Linked DNA regions of Struthio camelus. The protein of the gene in region 2 binds, or shares a complex with, the protein of the main gene of each other region. Links are inferred from orthologs where the notes say so. Each region holds a gene or a part of one and is shown on either strand. Other genes may lie near its edges.

What was found.
Region 1: COA1 (region 2) and SURF1 share a complex: the UniProt entries of both Homo sapiens proteins name them as parts of the MITRAC (mitochondrial translation regulation assembly intermediate of cytochrome c oxidase complex) complex. The link is inferred for Struthio camelus from reciprocal best matches to the Homo sapiens genes COA1 and SURF1.

The regions. Positions count from the first base shown.
Region 1 is NC_090961.1:5,150,225-5,157,195, forward strand, and holds the start of SURF1 (surfeit locus protein 1), read left to right. Parts: upstream 1-3,953; 5' UTR 3,954-4,078; coding exon 4,079-4,117; intron 4,118-4,504; coding exon 4,505-4,586; intron 4,587-4,710; coding exon 4,711-4,838; intron 4,839-5,223; coding exon 5,224-5,306; intron 5,307-6,175; coding exon 6,176-6,367; intron 6,368-6,697; coding exon 6,698-6,770; intron 6,771-6,971. Other genes in the region: SURF2 (surfeit locus protein 2), read right to left, coding at 317-400, 1,236-1,411, 2,236-2,430, 2,887-2,990, 3,218-3,372, 3,731-3,910. UniProt on the Homo sapiens protein: Component of the MITRAC (mitochondrial translation regulation assembly intermediate of cytochrome c oxidase complex) complex, that regulates cytochrome c oxidase assembly.
Region 2 is NC_090943.1:60,050,074-60,057,512, forward strand, and holds the start of COA1 (cytochrome c oxidase assembly factor 1 homolog), read right to left. Parts: upstream 3,005-7,439; 5' UTR 2,934-3,004; intron 2,342-2,933; exon of another isoform or gene 2,150-2,341; intron 385-2,149; exon of another isoform or gene 142-384; intron 1-141. UniProt on the Homo sapiens protein: Component of the MITRAC (mitochondrial translation regulation assembly intermediate of cytochrome c oxidase complex) complex, that regulates cytochrome c oxidase assembly.

The DNA.
Region 1 (6,971 bases), on a different chromosome or scaffold from region 2:
GGAATTGCTGGTTAGTACTCCTGTGTGCTTTCTCTCCCACTCACTGGAAAACATTTTTCCTAAAGACCTCCAAGAACTTGACTTCCTATACTTTCCCCAAGGCACAAAACTGCAGTAGTAATCATTTCTGTGGTGGTAGGAGAGAGCCCAAGAAGCTATTAAAATTAACTTGATGAATTCCACCTCATACTACTTCCTTCCCCCAGTTAACTGGAAAGAGCAAAAACATCTGCGGGCGAGCACTTCAGACAATCTGGTACACCCTCTAGAACTGTTCAACAACAGGCTTCAGGCCATACAATATTTCTCACAAAATTTATTTGCCGTTGGTTGCTTTCTTGAAATGTTTGAGTTTCCGATGACAGCTCTTGAATTTCTTCTTCAAAGGACCTGACTGTTTCTGCGAAGAGAGAATATTCGAATCAGCTTTTTTCCAAAAAGTAAATCCAGCCCTGCCTGAGATGACTTAAAGAATTTAGTAGTAGTCTCCTGTCTCACTTGATACAGAACAAGCCCAGTCCTGGTCACAGAGGACAGGGGGCCAGGCAGGATGTTTCCCTACAGAAGGGATGCAAGCTAGCATCCCCTTTTCTGACAGGGGCACGATAGATTCACTAGACACAGATGCTGACAGCCTCCCCATAGAAATGAATCTAAACTTCAGCTGGTTTGATGCAGTTAAAAAAGAATCCCAGCCCCTTCCTCAGGGCTGCCCTTTACAGTTAAAGGTTTGTGCATAATTTATGTATGTAGCATCTAATCCAGTTGCTTCCCAAACTGAGAAGGATCAGGATGCATCCTCCTGTAAGCACATCCGAAGGCAAGAGCTTACCAGTTCCTCAAAAGAGGCGGAGAAAAAAGGGCTAGAAGGACCAAATTGAATCCTGTAACTTGCAATCAAAAGGGCTTAACTAGTGCAGGGCCAGGGGAAAAGTATACAAGACCCACAGGATGCACATGATGTGAAGACAGTGTGCAGCAGGATGCAAACAATTTTTATAACTATAAGGGCAATAACATCCTTAGTCACAGCAGACAGGAGAAACGTTTACCAGTAGTAAATCACACCTCAGGATGCAAGTTAGTGGCTGACGCCTGGGGAAAGTCTACTCTCCCAAATAGCTTTACACCTTCTGCCAGTTCTTCTCACACAGTAATAGATGAGACAAACACCTATGGGATAGGAAGCCTGTTCCGTGCTCCCCTGCTGTTGCACATGGCAATACAACTCTTACCTTTCCCCTTTTGTTGCCAGCTGCTCTGCTAACATTCATTCTTCTGCCGTCCTCTCCATTCACATCACCATTCTCCCCAGTCAGCTTGGCCGTGTCTTCCTCATTGTCTGTTGCAAAGTCATCGCTGCCCTCTGCATTTTGTGGAGCTGCTGAGCTTTTTTCTGGGAAGAGTTCAGCTAAAACACAGAGACTCAGCTGAGGAGCAGTTTCCTCTGCAGCAGGAACCTACCACCTAACTTTTTACTTTGTGGGCATCTTAAAGGTGACCTGCCAAGCTGAAGTACCACATTCCAGTCTCTGAGCATTAGCCTCTGTCATACATGTGGCATACTGGAATACTTGGGGAATAAACACACTATGGTGGTTTATTAGAAATGTGCCTGGTGCTCTGTCTGCTCAACACAGACAGTTCTGTGGTCTTAAAAAAACAAAAAAAAAAAAAAACCCAATGCTCCTACAGGAAGGCAGTGTATTTTAGATGCAGGTCAGTGGAACTGGCACTGGCTTACTAACTCCTATTAGACTGCAAGACTTGCGGAGAAATCAGGAGTAGAGTTACCTGAAGAAGCACATCCCAGGGGATCTTGTAACCCTCCTCTCACATTTTGTGATCCGAGTCTGATTAGTTACTCAGTGATAACTGCTATTTCATATTTGGTGGTGGCAAGCTTTTCCCAAACCCAGGAACTCAGAACTGGATAAAAGTCACAAGCCTCCAGCATGCCTGCACATTGAAAGCTCTCCCTCCTGGCAGTGCATGAATAAATCATACCTGAGCTCTTTCTTCCAGTACAGCAAAGTAAAGCTCGCAGCTCCTTCCCAATGGCTCCATCTTTCCAGCTATATTCAACTATCTTTCTATCACTAAGTCCTACTCTTGCACTGGTAATAGAAATCCCACTGACCTAGCTTCCCAGAAGGGAGCAACACAAAGAGGCTGGAAGAAAAATAACTAACAACCTCTGTTTACGATATAGATGATACCAGTGTTCTTACTCACGTGGGTACAGATCACTCATACTGTCATCATCTGTCTCCTCTCCATCCTCATCACTGGACTTTGGCTCCCAGAATTCTTCTTTTCTGTAAGGCTGTCTGCTCCCATTCGTTTGGTCATCGGGATGCCGCCTCCGCTGCTTCTTCTGTCGCAAGCAGGCAGGGACATACTCCACTCCCTCCTTCTGGCACTCCTCATCTAGTAATGTGAGATATCAACCAGCGGTGAGCAAGGATACCCAATCACTTGATTCCTCATCCTTTCATTTCCAGCTACAGTCTATATTACATACAACTCAGAAGTACGTTAAGCTCTAACTCCGATACGCGTTCCTGTAATCCAGGATGATACTATGGGACCATGAAAGACAGAACAGATGTCAATACAGAAACCGTGCTGAACACATGAACCATCCTCTCTGGGGAAGCTTTAGAGCCGCTCCTTTCAAGTAAAGACATTCCAAGGTGTTTGCTAAAGAGGCCTTTTGCTCCCTATGCCTGGGGTTTTCCTTCCCGCCTAAGCGGCACATACAGCAACAGTGCTTCTGTCAGTCTACAGAAAACTTACCCGCTCACCGCATATGGAGTAACTGGAATCACAAAAGCTTAAGAAAAAAAAAGGTTGGATGACTGTATCTTCAGAAAAGTGACTTACATCTTTTTAGGGCCTTCTGATAGCGTTTCCCTTGGACATGACGCAGCACATGCTCTGGAAACTTGTTGATATGCCTGAGAGTGAGCTTGCAAAACAGCTGATGTCTTACAGACACAGAAAGAAAGAAAGAGCCAGCAACAGAGTTTAAGTCTACCATTAATTCATAATCTTTCACTCCTAAGCACTATGGTCAAAGCTAACAAATACTTTATAAAGACTTTCCTCACCTATCAAAAACCATAAACGCTCAAGAACTTCGCGCAAGCCACCCACTCTATTTGTGAGGCTGAATGAGGTGCGAAGCACAACATGCAAGAGGAAGAATACGTACAGATTCTTTGTGCTCGGCACTATATGTGGCTCAAACTTGCCATAGTCAAACTCTCTGGCCGTCTTTGTCAGCCTCTGATACTTCTTGCCATTAGTATAAGCCTGCAGCTCCGACATCCTACACGGCATCTCGTGGCCGGTCAGCCTGCATCTCACCTGAAGGAAGACAAGCAGGATAAAAGTGAGGAAAGCACAAGGGATGACGGCCGGGCTGCAGAGGGGAGGGCTCGTACCAGGGCCCTCCTCCCTGATGGCCTCAGTCCCACAGCGGGGAGAAAAACCTCCGGGCCAGGCAGCAACCTGGGGCCGAGCCCAGAGCCCAGGTGCTGGGGTGCCTTCCCCGGTCCCCCCGTGGCTCTCAGGGCAGGCGGCCCCGCTCCCCCCTCACGGGAGCCGGCTCCAGTCCCGGTCCCCTCCGCCCCCCGGGCTCCTCACGGAGGCGGCCGCAGTCCCGCTGCCCCCTCAGGGCCCCCTCGCAGGAGGCGGCCCCTCAGCCCCGCAGCGCAGGCCTCACCTTGCCCGGCTCCGCCAGGCCGAGGAGCGGGTGCTGCCGCAGGAAGAGCCGGACCTCCTGGGGCACCTCGGCCATGGCCGCGGCCGGGGAGGGGCAGGGGCGGCCGCCGCCGCCGCCATCGCCGCCGGGCATCTCCGCGCGGCCCCGCGCCTCGGCCTCGCCGCCCGGCGCCCGCATCATAGAGACGCTCTGCTAGACAGGAGCTCGCCTATACTTCCGGTCCGGGCCACGCCGGAAAGCAGCCGGTGGCATAGAGAGAGGCGGCTAGAGAGGAGCTTACCCGGCACGACCGGCGGGCGGTCTAGGCCGGAGGCGGGCGGGCGGCGAGGGGCCGGCGGCGGCGTTGCCATGGCGACCTGGCGGCTGCTGCGGGAGCCCCGGGCCCAGGTGCGGCGGGGGGCGGCGGCCCGGCGCCCCCCTCGGTGCCCCCCTCGGTGCCCTCGGGGGAGGCGGCCCCGGTCCGGGCCTGGTGTCCCCCTGCGGGACGCCACCAGGTGGATTGGTTAAAAACCGATCCTTTTGGGAAAAAAAAAAACAAACCACGGTTTGGTAGCGCAGAGAGCGTTTGTCGCGGTCTAGTGAGCGGCGTAAGCGGGGTGGAGTTTCATTTCCTCGGAGTTACAGCCTAAACTGTGGTGCTTGGCCGGTGGTTGCCCAGAGGAGGCTTAAATACAGCAGGAAACGAAACCTGCCACCCTGGAGGCAGCTGGCACCGTCTCGGGGCAAACGTCGCCGAGCGGAGTCACTGCAAAGGGTCGTTTTTGTTTCCCGTAGGTGTCCTGTGGCTTGGTCAGACGAGCATGTTTCGGATGTCCTCTCACTGAAGCGCGTTCTGGTCTGCTGCAGCGCACTAAAGGTAAGGAAAGGTTTAGCCGAGGCGTCCGCCCCGTTTCTGCCTTACTCCAGCCGTGACGTTTTCTGCGGGACTTTGGCACCTTTTCTGCAATACGAAGCCGCTTCCTCGTTCTGGTTTTCTCCAGACCTTTGCTTGAGGCCGTGCAGACCGCGAAGCTCTACAGCAGCCGCTGGCGCATCTGAAGAGGGTGTCTTACTCAAGTGGGGCCTTCTCCTTGTCCCTCTGACCACCTTCTGCCTTGGCACATGGCAGGTACAAATAAATATTTCGTTCTTCCATGAGAGAAGAGCTTAAGGGCTGTCTGGTGGTTCCATCCTCGGCTGTTTAATGTGAGCTAGTTCACACCACAGCCAGGGTAAAGATTGGAAGATACTTTTTCATATATAGTTTTCCTAGTTACCGTTTGTGAGTTTCATGTAAGTCTTTGAATGAGAGATTCATTTATTTTACTTTTATGTCAGTATTTCTTCTCTCCCCAAATGAAGTTAGTAGCCTCCATTTTTGAATCTGCAATTATGTTGCTTTAGGCCACATCTGAAGAGAAAATACCGATAAAAGAAGCAGACTCTGTTTTCAGCCTTGCCAGGTTATTACACTGCTCTGTTCTACCAGTGGGAATTACTCTGTGTATTTCCAGGTTCAGCGACGAAAGTGGAAATTGGATTTGATTGCGCAGTTGGCGTCAAGAATTGCAGCAGAGCCCATCCCTCTGACATTAGAGTAAGGAAGCTGAGATGTTGCAGTTTGCTGTCTGCCAAGTACTGCCAGTGTGCTGGGGGTACTAGTTATGGTCCCTACGCTCTACAACATGTAGTCTATGTTAAACTAAACTGCATGCAAATGAAGAAATGCAATGGGAATCAGAATGCGCAAGCAAATTCACAGGATAGACAGTCGTGTTCGTTCTCTTGTTTCAAATGCATATTGCAAACACCTCCCTGTGGGATACTCTAAAGGCATCTAAAGGGGTCAAATCTCTGTTCTGGAGACTGTGGTATGTAATTCAGCCTGGAGAAAGAGGGTTTGGGAGTTGTTGCCCAAGATGTCCCAGAGGAGGGGGTTACTGAGCACCGCTGAAGAAAGATTGGTTGTTGCTGTACAGTATTCCTGCAGCAAGGGAGTCTTAGAACGATAGCAAGCTCTGCCCCAAGTGCAGAGCAGTTGGGTCAGATACAAGAGAGAGTTTTAAGGTCACTTTAGCCATATGGTACAACTGTCAACACAGTTCAGTAGTTCTATTTCACAGTCTGGGATGGGAAAGAAATGCTCCCTGTTGGCATGATGTACACGCAGTGTGTCACCTGCTGTCTCGCTGTGTGCATCGTGTGCATCACTGAAGTGGTATTCAGTTACAGATATCATGGAAAAGAGCTGTGCTCTAGATGCTCATGATCTTAGTGATTTGACTTACTATGATAGTAACAAAATCTTAAGCCAAGCTGCTTATACCAGGAGGTACTTGTCTTCTCTTTCTGTTTGCCAGCTGGACCTAGAGAAAATCATGGGGAGAAGGAGAATCCCATAATAAAATTCCCTGGTTTGATCTGTCTACCACAGCCGTGATTTTGTTTTCACCTTGTTCCATGCAGCCCTATGGAACTGAAAGAATTAGAGTACAGGCCTGTAAAGGTCCGAGGGCATTTTGACCACTCCAAGGAGCTCTATATTTTGCCACGGTCACTTGTGGACCCTGAACGAGAAGCGAGAGAAGCCGGACGGCTGACATCCAACCCAGAAAACGGAGCAAATGTAGTTACTCCTTTCTACTGCACAGACCTAGGGTAAGTGTGTTCATGCACAAGCCTGAGAACATGTGTATGTGTAGTTAATTAAAGTCATGCTTTATCCGAGCTGAATCTTAGTGGCTGGGTTTATGTGAAGCACTCACTGTCCTTTAAAAGGTCTCTGTCTCTCACAACCTGTTAAGTCGCAGAGGCTTGCTTCCAAGTTGTATCTGAAATCCCTTATAACGTGCACTCAAATGACAAAAAAGTGGCACCAAACATATGGGTTGCTTCTTTTTTTCGCTACCAAGCTCTAGGCAGCGGCAGGAATAATGAACAATTTCCTTTCTCTAATGAGCTGTATTTGTCCTCTTTATGTAACTCTAGCGTCACGATTTTAGTCAACCGAGGATTTGTGCCCAAAAAGAAATTGAAACCAGAGACCAGGCTAAAGGGACAGGTAAGAGGAACAGAGGGAAGCTTTCCCTATTACTTTCTACTCAGTGAATACCAAAAGAGACACTATTGGCAAAAAAAGGCAGTAGCCGCGTTCAGCATCATGGGAGGTTACTTAAATACGGAGTCATTGCACTTCTCAAAGAAAGTACTTTTCCTCCCGCCTTTTTATTGAGTACATAAAGTGTTTTTACAAACAAGGACC
Region 2 (7,439 bases):
GAAAAACCGAGAAACAATACGGCCTTTTTCTGCAACCTCCTCAGCTATGCAAAATCATACTCTAAGTTCTCAACCTAGTCGTGGACAGCTCTATGGACAAAAAGAAAAATCTAACTAGGTTTTTTCTTTTCCATTGAATAGGCAAACATTTCAAGATCAAGTGTTCATGCACATCTGCTGCTGACTTTGGCTTCTGTGGCTTCTTCAGTACAGTCAACAGTCAGACCTGTGGTGAGGTCTCTCTGCACAGAACTACGCTAGAACTGACGTGGCCTTTAAATCTGTATCTCGAGATCAGTTATAATTCTCAGAACAACCACAACTAGGTTTGCCATCACATAATCCTCAGAGCCGCTCTAAAGTCTGTCCTGCAGACTTCCTTAGGTAAGTTATTCTGGGTCAAATAAGAGAAACTGTTGTGAAATAGCAATGCTTGAATGCAGCTCTGGCGTTTAGTAGGTAAGTCACATTCATCTGTGTTGAGTAGCCTGTGGCAGGTATAAACTAAAGGTCAAGTGCCATGTTATTGGAGAAGACATGCGTATGCCTGTCCCTTTGGGTGGGTGACAATACTCAGCTATAATATGCTAAGTCTAGTGAAAACCCCCAGCATCAGTTCTTCCTCCTGTTATGCTGGGGTCAGATCTGCAAATGTAAGGATTTATTTTACTCTTTTTGCTACTCCGGCATTGAGGCAAAACCCCAAAACTTGTATTAGAAAAGTGGCCAAGATAAGTATGTTTCAACAGCCATGCAGAGCCTCCAACTTCTAGGCAATAACCAGCTTTGAAGTGAAATATGTACTGCAATAATCCATGCACACTTCATTAATTCCAGAACTGCAACAGCAAAGTGCTACTTAGAAAAAGCTGCAAGATAGTAATGAAGGGTTTCGGTTTTATTTTTCTTCTAATCACAAAAGCGCCTTATCTCCATTCTCCATGTTTTTTTTTCATTCAATTTACAGGAATCCAAATTAAAGCTCATCTAACAATAAAAAATCACTTTATTACATTTGACTAACCTTTTCATTCCCCTCTTGGTGAGAATCCCTTCTGTCTTAGGGGAAATAAATGTAATAAATTATTATGTTATCTTAAACTAGCAAAGTGTCAATTGTTAAGATGTTGAAATATCCAAAATCAGCCAGTGAACATATAACATAAAATGCAAAGAAAAGTTAAGAAGTTGAGGACCAGCAATTCTTTTCAAGTGTTAACTAAGAAAAAAAAATCTTGATGCAGCAGGCTGCCAAAAATGCAGTATTTTGTCATCTCTGCATCAACATGCACACATCTGTCTTTTCTACGTGAACCTCCATTCAAGTATGAAAAACTTCAACATGGGCTACTGCATGAAATGAAATCTTGGTTTACCACTCAAATTTGTGAGTCAAAGCATAGACTCAAACCAAAAGGCTAAGAGTCAGTTTAATGCAGCACCTAAGCATGGCTGTTTCTGCTGAAAGAGGTGCTCTCGCCCCTTCTCCCTCCCTCCTGCTGGACTGCATAGCTGCAGGGTTTTGCAAGCTGCAAATACAACGGAAAATCAACTTTCAGATTTAGGGATCCGCTTGGTTTTTGATACAAACCGTGCAGTGGCTGGGGCAGTGGAACAGGGCCATCTTGCTGTGACAGCCTGCTATTACTCCAACCTGTGAAGCTGGCCTGAGGGGGGAGGCTCACGTGTATGGTTCAATACTTTATCAAAATCAGGCAATCCTGCCCACTCTGCACTACCCACTCGCTTATGGTGCTTTAAGAGTTCATGTAAATCAGCAGAAAGTAATTGGTCTGGGTTAAAACCAGGCAGGCCGGGAGGCAGGGGGAGTTTGCTGAGTTAGTTTCAAATCAGATCAGGTCTCCCATCTGGTTCACTAGGAAGAAATGAATGAAGTACACCAAACCTCAGAGATGCTGCTGTGTAAAATATTAAACGTTTTAAAATGATAAAATGTACAGTAAAAAGGGATGGGGGAAACTAGTCTGGTTTAGTGACAAGAGTGATCTTAACAGGAGGGCTTGGATTTTTAAAAGGGGGGGGGGGGAGAAATAGCAATTTTTTCCCTTTGTGGCATCAGAATGAATATTAAATACATGCTTAAGGAGCATCAATCACTTCTCAAGCTGTATGTGAGTGACAAAGTAAATCCGGCCCGAGGTTTCTCGGTAGGTAGACAAGAGTCACCACGGCTGACTTGCTTTAAATTCACGTGTCCCCGCACCCCCGTCGCCCTCTGCGTACTGGGGCCCAAGCGACTGCATCCTGCGCCTTCTCCAGCTCATCCTCGCCAGCACAGGCCCTGGGCAGCGCGGCCTCTGGAAATGATACTTATATTTATGTAAGTAGCCGAAACCAGCCTTAGAGGAAGCCAGTCCTCAGAGCTTTATAATTACTCAACCGTTTTCGGCTTATTGGCTTTTGCTTAAAGCCTACGAGATGCATCTGCCTCGTGCACCGTTTCTAAAAACAGTTAAGATGTATTTAAATATAAAATTACCATTAAAACTGTTCTAGTAATCGCGCTGTGAGATGATGTGCGTGGTAATTACTGCGCTGCCTCATCCTCTTACTCGGCTAAGCCTGCGCGCTTCGCAGGAACTGGGACACCTGGCTGGACAGCTGTTCCGGGCCTAGGTTATCTCACTTGCATCTGCACCGCTATTGCCTTTTTTAAACACGCCCGCGGTTCCTTGCATTCAACACTGCTTTTCAGGTGTGCGATCGCCTTGAATGTAAACTCCCCCCCCCCCCCCGTCTCAGCCCCCTCGCTGCCCCTCCACCCCCGCTCCCCACAGCTCCCCTCCAGAGCTGGCCCCGCGGCCGCCATTTTGTGCAGCGCCGAGCGCGCCAAGGGAGGGGGCTGGGGCCCCGCCCTAACGGCCGTAACCGCCCTCACCGCGCCCCGGCCCCCGCTGCCCCCCCCCACTCACGGCGCGGCGGTCGACAGAAGGGCTCACGCGTGGGCCGTGGGAGCCGCCATTGCCGCGGGCTCCGACGCCGCCAGGGGGCGCTGCAGGGCGGCGCGGAGGGAAGGGGAGGGCCGGCCGGCGGGAAGGTGGCTGCCGCGGCGGCCACCGCCCCGCCGGCCCTGGCTCCTTCTGTGTTTAAACTAAGGGGATATTTTTCCTAGGGTCCTGCTCCTCGGGGGCTGGGCTGGGGGTTTCCTCGGTCCGTGCCTCGCCCGTTCGCTGCGGCCGGAGGAGGGTGGCCTTGGCCCTGGTGATGAAATGAGTGGGGGCTGCGGCTTGAGTGGGCTCCTTGCTTTCTCGGGGGGGGGGGTGGTGATCTGCGGAAAAGGGTTTTTCTGTTGCCTGTGACTATCTGGTTAAAACACTGTAAGTTTGCTTTGTTTTTCCTCAGTTGCCTTGTGCTATTCAAGGGCAGCAGGGTATAATACTTGCTGGCAAGGAGAGTTAGCAGCGGAGAGTCTTGCAAGCCTGTGTAGAGACAGCTGCGCCTTTCGGCCAACTTCCGCGGCAAAGTGCAGGCTGCTGTGTATCCAAAATCCTGCCTGTTCAGAAACAATAATCCAAAACACAAACTTCCTACCTTGTTCTGGAAGTCATTCTTTTTTTGTGCTACTTTATTATTTTTCCAGGGCAAGCCCCAAAACGGAATATTTTAAAAAGCCACCCGTACGCGTTAGAGTAAAATAAACAGTTTCGGTAAGCATCTTTTCAGCAGTCGAGAGAGACTTGGGTTTGAATTTTAGATCCTGCCTGGGAACTGATTCCACAAAGAGATAGGCGTGTTTAATTTAATTACCGCTCTCTTCTGCTTATCTTTTCACTCTAAATAATCCCCCATCGTTGTACCGCATAACCTGGTGTCACTCACTCTTGGAGCGTATTTAGTAGGCTTTCTAGCGGTGTAACTGAGATCAGCGTTTAGGCTTGAGCGTTCAGTAAAGTGTATGTGAATGTTACCAGATTACAAGGTCCTGAGTACCAGGCTCACAGAACCCTTGATTCATCTGAAATTAAAATGACGACTGTCCCAATTTGAGAGTGTCCTCTGCTGCTATTTCTTACTACAGCATACATGCTTGGCTATTTATTGTATGAGCTTCCTGGCGGAGAGAAGTTGAACCAAACGTTTCTCAGTTTGTTTTCTTATCCAAGTAGTTTCCAACTTCTTATTTACACTTTTGGCTTGTGATTGTAACTTCTGTTTCTGCCATTGTGTTTTAGTGGGAATACTGTCTGCTTATGGAGTTCTTCCAAATATAACTGTTTTTTCCCTTGTAGAGCTTCCAGTGGTTGCCAATGAAGTCCTGTCATCAGAGTGATTACGTTATTTTGCATTGCTTTGTTGCTCCTAGCGAAATCAAAAAGTGAGAGACTGCTAGGTTATAGTTGAAGTTAATTAATACATCAGCTACTTGCTAGGACTTGTAATGCTTGTGGGACTGGGGAAGGTGAGAGTGGGGAGAAACAAGACATGAAAAGACAACCAGTAAAACGAGACAAAAAGATGTGAAGATATGGCAAAAAATGACAAGGAGAAATACAGCACAACTGGAAGGAACTGGAGGCAGCTAATTCTAATGGGAACTCCTCCGATGCTCATGCAGATAAGCCCTGTTAAAAGGCTGTTTTGTATACAAAGTCACATAGGGTTTTTTTAACCTCTTTCCCTCCTCCTCCCTCACTACTAACATCCTTTCGCTGTGGGGACCAGCCACGTTTACCTTCAGAGGTCGTCCAACTCTTACACATCTAACTAGTCTCTCTGAAAAACGGTTTTCAATTTGTGTTTCACTTGAAAATCTGTTTTATATGTTTCACACCTGAAGAAGGATTTTGTGCCAAAAGCTTGTCTATAGTTCCCAGCTATGCCTAAGTAAGCCTAACCACCCCTACAGGCCTTGTCCTTGTTATTTAGCAATGATGAAAGCTATACAGCAACCATGAAATTTTGGTGAAGTTTTATTAGTATTGAAAGCTACTCATTATTTATAGATACTCTATATTAATTTCCATCTGGAAAGAGGAACAGACTCTTTAAGGCATCTATATACCACGGAGCTGTGTGCTGCTGCTTCCAAGGTCTGTGTTTCCCCCTCACCACTGCTGCCGCGCTGGGGATCCCAGCTTCTCCTGCCATGCCGGCTGCCCCCTCCTTGGCCACAAATGCCTGCCCCAACGCTCATTTCTCATTCCACCTCTTTGAAGGAGCAGCCCCTCAACCCCTTTGAACTTCCCTAGGTCTACAGTGCAATTAAGTGTTTGATTTATGACTTAGGCACCCGAGTAAATAAACAAACCTAGGGCAAAGAGCGAGCTCGAAGCTGTATACTGGGGATCAGACTGAAAGTAGTGGTGCCAAAAAATATAGTTACCTGATCAGTTTTACCTAACCTAAATCTGCAGTGCGCTTGTGTTGGAAAGAGGTAACTGTGCTCTGCTTTAGCTGTGTGTTGCCACTCCCACCCTTGTTTTGGGAGCTGATCCATCTGGAAAGTAGGGGGGTTTATGTTTTCGTTTTGTTTTGTTTTTTTCTTTTTTCTGAGGTTAATTATGAGATCAAACAGGTCCAGGATCCTGTTGAACATATATCGCTGTACAAATGCTAGCACTATTACTGAATCCAAAGACTCGGAGCTACAGCTGCTTCTAATCCATCCCATATGCATTATTTCAGACATTATGCCATTCGTTATGATTTCCTATCATGTGCTAATTGATTCATTCCTTTATGCTAAGTATATAGTCATGTGCTAGTCACTAGCAGCCCCACATGTTGAAATCATGTTATATATCTTTAAATGCTATATCTCCTGGTCAGCGAGTCCTGCTTTAGCTATTACCGTGCATACCTGTTACAGGCCTTCATTCTTTCTTTGCTGCACTTTAAGCTTCCTGCTTGTTAGTCTAGGATGTAGTTCCTTAGTCATACTCTGAAGCTCCTTGTTACTGCAGTTGTGCAACTACTGTAATTAGAGCTGTTGTTCTGTGTATCTGTGCTTTAGCCTATGGTGCTATTAAGAGTTTGAGAGGGGGAGGAGAGAATTTTGAAACATCCTGTAACATATTTGAAACATCCAGGGTAGTAGTGTCAGTATAAAAGCTGTGTTCAGATTAAGTCATGTTGGACCACGGAAGTTTTGCCTGACTTAGAACTCCGTATCTGGCTCAGAAAACATGACTCCAGAAAAGCAAACGTACCCAGGAGACTGAGTTCCTGAGTACTTGCTGGTAAGGAAATTAACTAATCAGAAGAAATGAATGGGAAAAGATGAAAAGAAAGATGTATCACATATCCTTTTGATCCCTTCCTACAGAATTTCAGAATAAAGAGTTTAAGGAATCTAGAGCTGTGCTGATTTTTTTTTTAAGCTTTATAGGAAGAAGGCAGATTACTATTTATGCCATTACTACTTACGCATAGCAAGTCCCAAAATTTACCAGAAATACAATGAATTGAACACACTCGGGTGCAAAAAAATACTGCTGCTGATTTCTCCAGTTATTTCTACATGACATCTGAGATGAATGTTTACAGAATTTGATCCTTTGTACCTGTAGTCCTAATGTGACACAGTTTGAGGTGCTATACTAGCCTGCAAATGCCCAGCATCGGCGCAGTGTAGACTGGTCTGTGGAATTCAGACTATCCCGGCTGCACGCGCTGTTCATTGCAGGAACTACAAGCTACAGGGAAAATAGCTGCACCCTCCCAGGCTTTTATCTTCCCAGCCCTGAATGAACCAGCTGAAAGCACTGCTGTATGAAGATAAGACACGCACGTGCGGAAACTAGTGAAGAGGCTAGGAGTAAGATCTGGTAAAAAGTGGCTCTCTAAGGAAAAGCTAGGGCTTAAGCACAGTGTGGTGTTGTGGGCCAGGAAGCAATTTCTGTAGAAATGGGGAGAAGTAATCTTGAGTAAGAGCTTGCATAACCTGGACTGCGCTGTCCCTACAGCTGCTTCCTGTACGTAGGCTGCCAGGGCAAAGCCAGACACAGATTGGCGTGTTTGCTTTCCCGCAGGGGAGGCTACCCCAGGCTTGGCGCTGCTGAAACTCCTGCTCCCCCAAGCAAGGACTCAGCCTGTAGCAAAGCCTACAGATGCAGCCGGGTGGGCGCATAGGAGGCTGACGTACTAGCCTCCACAGCCCAGTGCACAGCTGGGCTCCTCTGGATAACGCCTGGCTGGGAGAAACCCCACTGCGGAGGGTTAATCAGGTCCTTGCCCCGGGCACCAGGGAGGTGATGCCGCCTGCTAGCCAGGTGTGGCTTTCTTCGGGTTTCCTAGGTGAGGTGATATCTCCCAGGCTCAGTGCCTATAGCAGCCTTTCTGCTGCTATGGCTGCTCCTGGCTATAGCCCGCCCCTGTAGTGTCCTTATTGGATTCCTGGCCAAGGGGGTGTTGCTGCACTGATAGCAGCCCTAGTAGCAGCAGGGAGAGCAGCACATTGATATGCTGGAGCTGCTGAG